3 linked regions of the Oryzias latipes genome follow. The protein of the gene in region 1 purifies or fractionates together with the protein of each later gene. This does not show direct contact. Links are inferred from orthologs where the notes say so. Each region holds a gene or a part of one and is shown on either strand. Other genes may lie near its edges.

Evidence for each region. The genes of interacting proteins can lie anywhere in the genome.
Region 2: the proteins of nod2 (region 1) and ripk2 purify together in Homo sapiens (affinity purification with western blotting; 12 studies listed by BioGRID and IntAct, with this or other methods). This does not show direct contact. The link is inferred for Oryzias latipes from reciprocal best matches to the Homo sapiens genes NOD2 and RIPK2.
Region 3: the proteins of nod2 (region 1) and E3 ubiquitin-protein ligase XIAP purify together in Homo sapiens (affinity purification with western blotting; 3 studies listed by BioGRID and IntAct, with this or other methods). This does not show direct contact. The link is inferred for Oryzias latipes from reciprocal best matches to the Homo sapiens genes NOD2 and XIAP.

What each region holds. Positions count from the first base shown.
Region 1 is NC_019861.2:30,230,898-30,234,563, forward strand, and holds the end of nod2 (nucleotide-binding oligomerization domain-containing protein 2), read right to left. Parts: coding exon 3,427-3,666; intron 2,742-3,426; coding exon 2,658-2,741; intron 2,582-2,657; coding exon 2,498-2,581; intron 2,426-2,497; coding exon 2,342-2,425; intron 2,258-2,341; coding exon 2,174-2,257; intron 2,055-2,173; coding exon 1,971-2,054; intron 1,875-1,970; coding exon 1,791-1,874; intron 1,642-1,790; coding exon 1,569-1,641; 3' UTR 650-1,568; downstream 1-649. UniProt on the Homo sapiens protein: Pattern recognition receptor (PRR) that detects bacterial peptidoglycan fragments and other danger signals and plays an important role in gastrointestinal immunity.
Region 2 is NC_019875.2:13,792,860-13,795,799, reverse strand, and holds the end of ripk2 (receptor-interacting serine/threonine-protein kinase 2), read right to left. Parts: intron 2,378-2,940; coding exon 1,983-2,377; 3' UTR 563-1,982; downstream 1-562.
Region 3 is NC_019868.2:22,026,875-22,030,311, reverse strand, and holds the end of E3 ubiquitin-protein ligase XIAP, read right to left. Parts: intron 3,419-3,437; coding exon 3,319-3,418; intron 3,005-3,318; coding exon 2,926-3,004; intron 2,678-2,925; coding exon 2,638-2,677; intron 1,581-2,637; coding exon 1,387-1,580; 3' UTR 563-1,386; downstream 1-562.

The DNA of each region.
Region 1 (3,666 bases):
TGCTTGATACTGACTTCCTAATGCGGTCATCAGAGAATCCACATATTCCTACCATAACCAGCTCTTTGTTTTGCTTTTTCTCCCATCAATAATACGGCTGGTCTCTTTTATTCTTTAAAGAAGGGCAGTTGTAGATTACAAAACTAAATTAAAATACCTCTGTTGGCCTGCACAATAAATGGCAAATGTATTGTTATCGCAATATCAAGCTGTGCAATATGCATATCGCTAAAGACGGTTAAAATGGCAATGCATGGTTACCTTAAATATGCTAAAACAATCTTATGGCAGTTTGTAGTATTTAATGAAAAAAACAAATCCCTTTATGTGTTTGACCAATCGAATAGACTCCTTTATATCATAGACCAATTGGATGGAGCCCTTTTATGTTAGATTTTTTATGTGGGTCATTTGGAATATATTTTTGTTCACTGTTGCAGTGAAATGGAAATTATGTATTTCCTTGTTTAAATATTTGTTCATATACTGCAAGTTATATCATCATCGCAATATTAATCACTAATATCGCATTTCGCACGTTTTCCTCATCATGCAGCCCTACCTCCATCCTTTAAACATGACTCAAGAAAATCGATTATTTCCCATGCTTGTTTGGCTCTAGTACTAATTTGCAAAGATCAGAGAGGCATTTTTTTAACTTTAACTTTTATTAAACCAGATAAGACATCCACATGAGAAACACCTCCCACAAAAGTCAACAGCTTATGCCATAAGGAAACAAAAAAGAGAACAACAAAATAGAATAAAAACTTTAACAAATGCAACAGCATTTTCATCGAGATTAGCTGTTATTCAACAAGAAATTATAATAAAACCAAGTGAAATAGCTTCTGAGAGTTGCATTTTTTGAGAACTAAATGACAGGGGGGCAGCAAAAAAGCTACAAATTCTGTCCAATTCAGTCCCACTTCAGACACATGTAACTTAAAAGTGTGAGGTACAGCAGCTGCTCAGTTTTTGAGGTACATGCTAAAATATTTGGAAGGTTTTGTTGTTGCATCTTTGCCTAAGAACCCATGCAGTTAGTTTGATCTACATTTAAAAACCAATTCAAAGTCAAGTAAACAGGACTGAGAAACAAAAACAGAAAAACTTTACTTTTTTTATCTCACAAGTCAAAGTGAGGCAAAAAGCTTTGCCTCTCTAATATTTGACTAGTATCGTTATTGGCAAAATTTAAAATCATCAATACAAGCTTTTTCATTAGTAATTGCACCTCAGCTAAAAGAACTGCTGTTTTTATTATTGATAATAACAAAAATAAAACTGTTTTAATTAACGGATACAATTACCCCCCACCCCTTATGAAATGTTCTAGCTCTGCTAGTAGTAAACTCATACAAAATTCCTTCAAACGTAAGGTTTTAGGTTGATTTATTTTGCCTGGGAGATCTGTTACTTTAAGCCAAAAAGGGAAGAAAGTGAAGATGTGCAAATGTCATTCATGGTTCTTAAGTGTGCTCATCCATACGGCAGTTGTACGTCAGTAAGGAGTAGCAGTTACATTGCAAAAAATATGTAGTTTTTTCAATAACAGGCACATTACATCAAAAAAGAAGCCTTGGTTCTCGCTGATTTAATTCTGCAACGTCCTCAGAGCTGAGCTCATTGCCTCTTAACCTGGAGGAGGAAGGACACACAAGTCTTCAAAACATATCAAACAAGTGTGTTTGAAAATTTAAAAGACAGTTTATTGGATAGAAGCACGCCAGAGAACCGACCACATTCAATTCAGCAGAACTCTGTGCAGTTCTGTTGCTGTAACATACCATACTGACTTCACTCGTGGGTTACTTTCCAAGGCTTCAATGAGAGATTCCACCCCTGTCCTGGTTATGCAGTTGTCCGTCAGCCTTTTGGTAGCAAACAAGAATCGTGTTTTTGATTGTTATAGCATTGACAACAAAACTGGAATTGTTGTTCACATTGCAGCTGTGTTTGATATTTACCAGAGCTCCTCCAGTGATGGGCTGTTCCTGATGACCTTGGAGAGAGCACACGCCCCTGTGCTTCCAACACCGTTACCCACGAGGCTGCCAATGCATCCATAGTTTTCATAAACCATGAAGCCAATGGGCATTTTTTTTTAAATGATGCACATATTGTACAGGTTCGTTATGTCATTTATACATATCTTAAATACAAGTATTACCTGAGCCATACCAGAGATGTGCTGCTTTCTAAGGCATTGGCAATGACCTCCGCTCCTTCATCACCAATCCGATTTCCCCAAAGCCTTTTGATGCAAACAAAAAAGCGTTGGTATAGAAAAAAAAATGTCAGCAAGACAGTAAATAGACATGTTTCCAGTAATGTTTACCCTAAATACATGAGAGAGCCGTTCTGTTTCAGTCCCTCTGCCAGCAGCTTTGCCCCATCGGCTGTTATATTATTGTTGCCCAGCCTGAAAAATACACGTTTGGATGCATCAGCTTTTATTCTGCTCCATTCACAGCCTATCCAAACAGCAACTCACCTTAAAGCAAGGAAATTCTGCTTGGTCTTCAGAAGGTGGGAGAAGTGCTGGGTGCAAGCATCAGTTAGTCTGTTGTTGAAGAGGCTGGAAAAACGCAAAGTCACAGTAAGAGAAGACTTGACAACACAGCAGACTTGGAGATCAGTTTGAAAGTACATACGCTATTTTCTGGAAGCTGTCACACTGCACACCTTTGTCAGTCAGTTTGCGAATACCTTCATCTGTAATGTTGTTATTTCTGAGGCTGACAACAGAAAAAAATATGCAGAGTTAAACTTTAAAATGCTCATTTTTATGTTGAATGACATCAAAAGGTAACCTTTGTTTTATTTACCAGCAATATCAGGGGTCTGCAACCTTTGACCTTGAAAGACCCTAACCAACAATAGCTGACAAGTCCCACCTCACCATTTAGAAAAACTCACTGTTTATGGTGGATGTTGTCATTTTTTAGAAATGAAACTTCAAATTATTTACAATAATAGAAATATGTATTTGTTAATTTTTTACATACAACAGTTTAAACTACTTTGCCTTTTCGACAGCCCAGTTCCTTTCAAAATAAGTCACATCCTGTGTAAAAACAAAATCCTCTTGCTGCAGAAAATATACTTCATTAAAAAAATGTAAGTCAGTCATTACACTTTATATTATTTTATATTTTTTTATGATTGTGCACCTTCATCTTTTTTCTCCTCTTACTATCAAATATAAATATGACAACATCTGTGTTGAATCCAATAAAAAGTAAATAAAATCTATACTTGTAATTGCAAAACTAACTGAAAAATAACCATTATTTATTCAGATACGTTTCGTATTTCTTCAAAGCCAAAATGCCCCGTGTGGCTCCACAGCCTCAGGTTGCAAACCTCTAAGCTCACAAATATGAAAATATGAAAAAAGGGGGATTTATACATTTTACTTACTACAAGGAGCTACAAATGTGCAAGCAGGGAAGAAGCTGCTCCACTCCAACGTCACCCACAGAGTTGTTGTCCAGATTAAGACCAACAGGGTTCTTTAAATGCTGGAGCACAAAGGCGAGGGCAGTGCATTCAACAGGGCCAATATTACAGTACGTCAGTTTTAGGTGGTCCACCTCCAGCTTACTCATAGCATCTTTAGCAATCTGGCTGTCCTGCATCTCGTAGATGCACTTGATAAGC
Region 2 (2,940 bases), on another chromosome or scaffold:
ACTGTTTGCTGAGCAGGGCTGTACCAAAACTAGGAGTTAGCCACTTTAACCCTTGTGCTATCTTAGATGAATCCACCCATACATTGACGTGTTCTCCCTACCATGACAAAGGTGGATAAAGGTGGAAAGATTTAATGTCATCCATGGACACCAGTGAGGTTCACAAATCACTGAAGAAAAAAGGTTTAGCGCACTGTCTAGTGGGTCTAGATGACCCACCTCCCAATGTTAAAGTGCCTAGGATAGCACAAGGGTTAAAAACAAGACTCCAAGTTTGAGATTGGATTATTGGGTATTGGATTTCCGCTTTTCAAAATGACGGTCCAGTGTATATCCTGGACAACAAATAAAGCACCACTTTTCTTTTTTTTAATTTGCTAAACTCAAACATGATTTTCAAAGGAGATATTCTGTTACTTCCAAGTCATTCCACTAAAACATGCCCTTTTTTTTCCAAAAAGGGGAACTTAGGCAGGCCCCTGGTGTGAGTGGGTTCATATGGGTGCAGCCTAATGATTCCTGATTTGTTATTGCAGATAAAGAAAAAAAAGAATTGCAGAAATTACAAAGTGATCGATTCCCATTTAATGGAAGAAGTGACAGAATATTTGAAAAAAGGTCGCACTAGAAAATGCAACTTTACCTCAACAGACATCTTAGGTGTTAAACTACCACATAAAGATAAAGATGTACAACAATGTGGGTACAGTACAAAATATAATACAAGATACAAAGGCCGTCACAATGAGGCACAGAGTTTAAGGACACATCCAACACTTGGAAGCACAAAAAGCCTAATTTCTGTTGTCATTTCAGGGACTACGGATGGCTGAAAACCTGACGTTTGTCAGAGTGTGCACTTTAGTAACCAGTAATCCACATTTGAGCACGTTGGGAAAAGGCAAAGGTGGAAAACATTGTACACAGAAAAGCTACCGTTTGGAAATTTAAGCACCTCCTTTAAGAAGCAAAGGCATTGAAGACACCAGTAAGGCCCTCCATTGAAAGTGTTAAATATACTGCTTTGCCAGCCAATGAATAGAATAAACCTAACCTATTCTGCTTACTATTCCATTAAACCAAAACTCTTTTCCTAATGCTGTAACTTTGTTTTCCTTTGCTACATCTTAAAATAGACATCAAAAAGTGTATTATCTGTACAGATACTGGTGCTACTCTCTTAACTGTTCTTCTTTATGGAAGCCATCACTGTTTTATTAAAAAGGAGTTGTTCTTGTTATAATGGAAAACAAAACTTCAAGATGATTGGATTACAATTCCAGGAAAGTTTGCTACAAGAAAAGCAGTTTTGGCAACTTCCAAAAAGTTAGAGCCGATTAATAACGAAAAGTTTCTGGAAGAAAGAGGGCTCTAAAGTATCTGGGTGGGTGTCAAGCCTCAAAATGTGAGCATGAATAGAAATACTGAGAGGTTACTTCGTAATAAATACAGTAGTTATTGTGAGCTGCTTAACTTTGACACAAAAACCCCCAAACATTTTTGTCATATTCTTGAGATTCTTGTGAACACACTAATCGTCTTCTCTTCAGTAAAATTGAATTTGCACCAATATGATATATTTTCTAATGCAAACTGTGCACTTTACAGGTAAAGGGAGGTTTTATAAATGTTCATGTGAACTCATGGGAAAGTGCTGCCTTGAGATTGTACTCTGTCTGGGGTCTTTTCTTTACTGCAGGTTTGCCAGCAAAGTAACAGTCTCCATGGCGCTTCCTTTAGGCAAATGCACACGAGTATCTAAAAAGATGGGCCTTAATAAGAGAAAACACAAGGAAATAAAAAAAAAATGGAGTATAAATACAAAATCCATAACAATTTAAGATCATCAACTCATTCTGTATCTTTTGATTTTTACGGAAGGACAAAACCTACACCTTTATTGCTAACGACAACAGAACCAGGAAGGGTCAGCTGTGGTGCGACGACGCCATCATCGGTCCTCTGATTTGCTGCCACCTCTGCTAAAAGTTTCTGGGGATGTTGCAGGAGGTGGGCAGAGATGGAGCGCTTGGCACAGCAGCTGCAGAGGTGGGACAGCTGATGTCTGTGGGGTACGGGTTCAGGCCCATTTGCTTGTTGTCGAACAGCTTGCGGACGACAATGCGGCAGAAGTCCTCGTCGTGTTTGTGGCAGTTGTCCAGCAGCTGGCGGACTTTGGCGGTGCGCGTCGGCTGGTTGACCACCAGCTCGTAGTCCTCGCGCATCAGCATGGAGCGAGCCAGCAGCGCGTCCAAGCTTTGGTTGAGACAGGCCTCCGTCATCTGGGAGACGATCTGCACGCGCCGCATGGCGATCCAGCTGCTGATGGGGCCTTGTGACAGCGGGGGGGAGTGCGGCAGTGGAGGAGAGCAATCAGCTGAAAGAATGGAGAAAGCAGAGCCATTTGAGACAATCTGATAACCTACATTTGTTGTGCACTAAACTAAAAGAGAACGTCCAATAGTAGCTCCTCCCAGAACATTTGCAAGTCAGACTTGATAACTGAACTCCATCCATTTTCCAAACCTGCCTAATCCTTTTTATGGTAACAGTGTTGCTGGAGCCTATCCCAGACATTTTTGGGTTCATCCAGAACAGTTTACCAGCCTGTTGCAGAGTCACACAACAACAACACGCACACACTCTCACATCCACAAATAGGGACAATTTAGAGTCATCAATGAACCTAAAATGTTACATTTAGCTTCAAAAACAACAAAGACAATCACACATTTTATGTTTACCGTATTTTCCGGACTATAAGTCGCTCCAGAGTATAAGTCGCATCAGCCCAAAAATGCATTATAAAGTAGAAAAAAAAACACAGATAAGTCGCACTGGACTATAAGTCGCATTTTGACGGGAAATTTATTTGACAAAATCTGAGACCAAGAATTCTTTCTCAAACTTGTTTATTTATTCTTTTCATGAAGCATCATT
Region 3 (3,437 bases), on another chromosome or scaffold:
ATTACCCAAATATGCCGCCCACCCGACAAAATGTAATGTCTTACAGAACAAAAAAAATACATAAAAGTCAAACTACAAAACAAGACTTAGCTAAAATATAAAAATGCAATCAAATCATTTAAAATAAATATTAAATTACCAAATTGACAGTTTCTAATTATTTTTTATTTAAAAATCCTAAAAAAATTCCATTCCAAATTAAAAAACTTGAACATCCAAGACAAATATTGTTTGAAAATGTGTCTGAAATTGTTTAAAATTGAAATGTGATGTTAAATCAAACAATAAAAAAAATGTAAATTCAGATGAAACCACCCAATTTAGAATTAAAATTAATTCAATATTTTTATATAATCAAAAATGATTGAAATTTAGATTTCTACCTGTTGTTTCTTCCCCAAAATATTCATTAAGATGATTAGAAAATAATTTCATAAGATAAAAAAAAAATTGTCATAGTTAAGGAACTTTTTTAATTAAAAAAACAGTTTTAGGGAAAAATGGAAGGTAAATAAAGACAAAAAAGTTATTTATTCACTGTTAATGAAAGCAATTGAATGAGTGACGTGTGAAACATCTCACCACACTGGAAGAGTCTTTATTAGTAGTGTTTTTAAAATTTTGCCTTTATGCATTAAAATATCTTTGACAAATAAAGAAAATAAATCAAAGTTTAAAAACTAAATATATGCTTGGGAACAGAAAACTAAAATAAGACAATTTCAAAGCTTTAAAGTTTAAATAAATGCATAGATAGAAACAGAAAACAAATGAAAACGTTACATTTTAAACAATAATAAGAAAAAATTATTGCTTCTAACAAAATCACCTGGATAGAATAATCCTTTATCCCCCAAACTACTGAAAAAATATTATTCAGATACATCTCTAATTCTGCAACATCAACTATCTTTACATATATTATAGTGCATGTTTGATGAATATAGCGTTATATTACATAGTCACTAATGGAATTTTCCTTTTTTTAAGTGGAGATTTGTGTAAAAAAAACAATGAATGAATTCCAGATCTTGGAGCACGGGGAATAGTTTTTATTCCGAGTCTGAAGAAAAAGCACTTTTTATGTTTAAAAACAACTTAAACCCTAAAAATCTTCAAGTTGGATGAAGAAATGCAGATATTGATGTTTTGTGAATGTTTCATCACTACAAACAAACAAATTTTCGTGTTTTCTTGCTGTGAAGAAAACGGCTGTTATATGTAAGTTCTTGCAAACCTGGTTTAGACAAACCTTTAGTTGTATTACTCTTTGTTTTTTCCACCTACATGCTCACAAAAAGCCATTTCTTCACAGACACCCACTTAAAAAATACGTCTCCATTGAAAGAATAGCAGCAACCATGTTAGACAAGAGTCTTTGGTTTCCTAAGCGATGAAGGTCCGGATTTTCTGTGCTATAGCTGCACAGCAGATGGGACACTGGTTGAGCTTATTGGAACACGCCTTGCAGCTGGCCAGATGTCCACATGGGATGAAGACGATGCACGCGTTCTCGTCTAGGCAGATTTTACAGCGCTTTTCCTGCCGCAGCTTCTCCAGCTCCTCTAGAGGGTTCTCAACTGAAAAAAGAAAGGGTTAGTTTTCCACGGTCCCAATTGTGACAATCTCTAACTGTAAGAGCCCAAGCAGGCCACAGGGGGGTGCAGCAGGGTCATGGTCTGGGCATCCTACTTTTTTTCTTTTTTTTTTTTAACTCTGCCGTACTGCTTAGACCATGCTTGAAAATTCAATGTTTTCTATTATTTGTCAGCCCAGTTCGTATGTAATTAATGTAAAATTGCAGAAGATAATGTTTTTTGACTTTTAATTTAACCCCAACAAATGACTGAGCTGAGGTCAGGGCTCTGCAACCTGAAGCTCTGGAGCTACATGTGGCTCTTTGACCCCTCCTTTGTGGCTCTCATATTGAAGAATACTAAAATGTTTTTCATTTTAAAAAGTAACATTCTTTAGACCATACGATACATCAATCAAAACAAAATCGTCTAACGTTTGAAACGATTTGACCACAGCAATTCAGCTGGAGGTCAGTAAACACAACCAGAATTCATACTTAAGGCACGCTGAGACTAGAAGAGATTATTATTGAACAAAATTCAACAATTGCAAGTGCGCCATAGGGTCAAAAATCTAGTTTCATTTTAGCTTGTTAGATTTTTACAAATTTCTGGCTGAGAGGTATAAACAACAATAAATTAAACAGTGTATAGTTGTTGTTTTTTAATCACTGCTGACATCCCAATTCCTACAACAACATTTGTTACATTAAGATGATCATATGTGGTACAGAGAGTCTTTTATCTTGAAAGGAAGTCATGTAAACCTCTGTTAAAAGTTCTCACTATTTCAAACAAATTTATCTTTATGACTGTTTTATTTCTGTGAAAAATCCACAACTTGATTTATATTTACAATAATAGTAACAATAACATGAATGCAAATCAGTGTCTTTTTATGGCTCCTACTGGGTTCCGGTAAGTGAAAAATTAACCTGATTGGCTCTACAAGTGCTGAAGGTTGCAGACCCCTGGCTTAGGTTCTCCTTCTCAAAAGGTTCAGCTAACTAATACCATAGTGTACATTTTTAGATTTAGATACATATCCAAGAATATTTACCTTTCTCCTCTTCAAAAAATCCATTTTGATGTTCTGAAGCCTGGAAACAAAAGGGTCACATCATCACTTTTTGTAAATCCTTTTGTCTGAACTCATGAGAAACGTCTAACAGCTTTTGTTTTAAACACACTCCCCCACCAACTCTTTAACAGAGAATAGGCTAGGCATAATACAAAATAAACCTTCTTTGTTTTATTTAAAAAAAAAAAAACAATTTCTACAAAAACTAGGGAAGTGAAGAAGCTTCAGAAACAGATTTCTTAAATGAGGGGAAATAATATGCCTTACCTGTTGTGAGTATTTAGGTTCTTGTAGCTGAATTGTATTAACAAACTCTTGGCCTTTTTCTGATAAAAGAAAGCTGCATCTAAAATGGAATTTAAAAAAAAGGATGTAAGATACATACATAAATACACTTACATCCCTTGTGCTATCCTAGGCACGTTAACGTTGGGAGTTGGGTCATCTAGACCCACTAGACAGTGAGCTGAACCTTTTTTCTTCAATGATTTGTGATCTTCACTGGTGTCTATGGATTACATGAAATCTTTCCACCTTTGTCCACCTTTGTCATGTAGGGAGAACACGTCAATGGCCATCTTGACCCCATAGGATAGCACAAGGGTTATACGAATACATAATCCTTCTTTTATGGGAAAAAGCAAAGCTGGAGGTTTTTACCCAGGATAATATTTGGCATGTTCTTCCCAAGGATTGTCCTCAGGGTCCCAATCTTTCAAACCACCACCACATCTGAAACAGATCACTTCGTCTCCTTCTCCTAGAATAATAATAAAAAA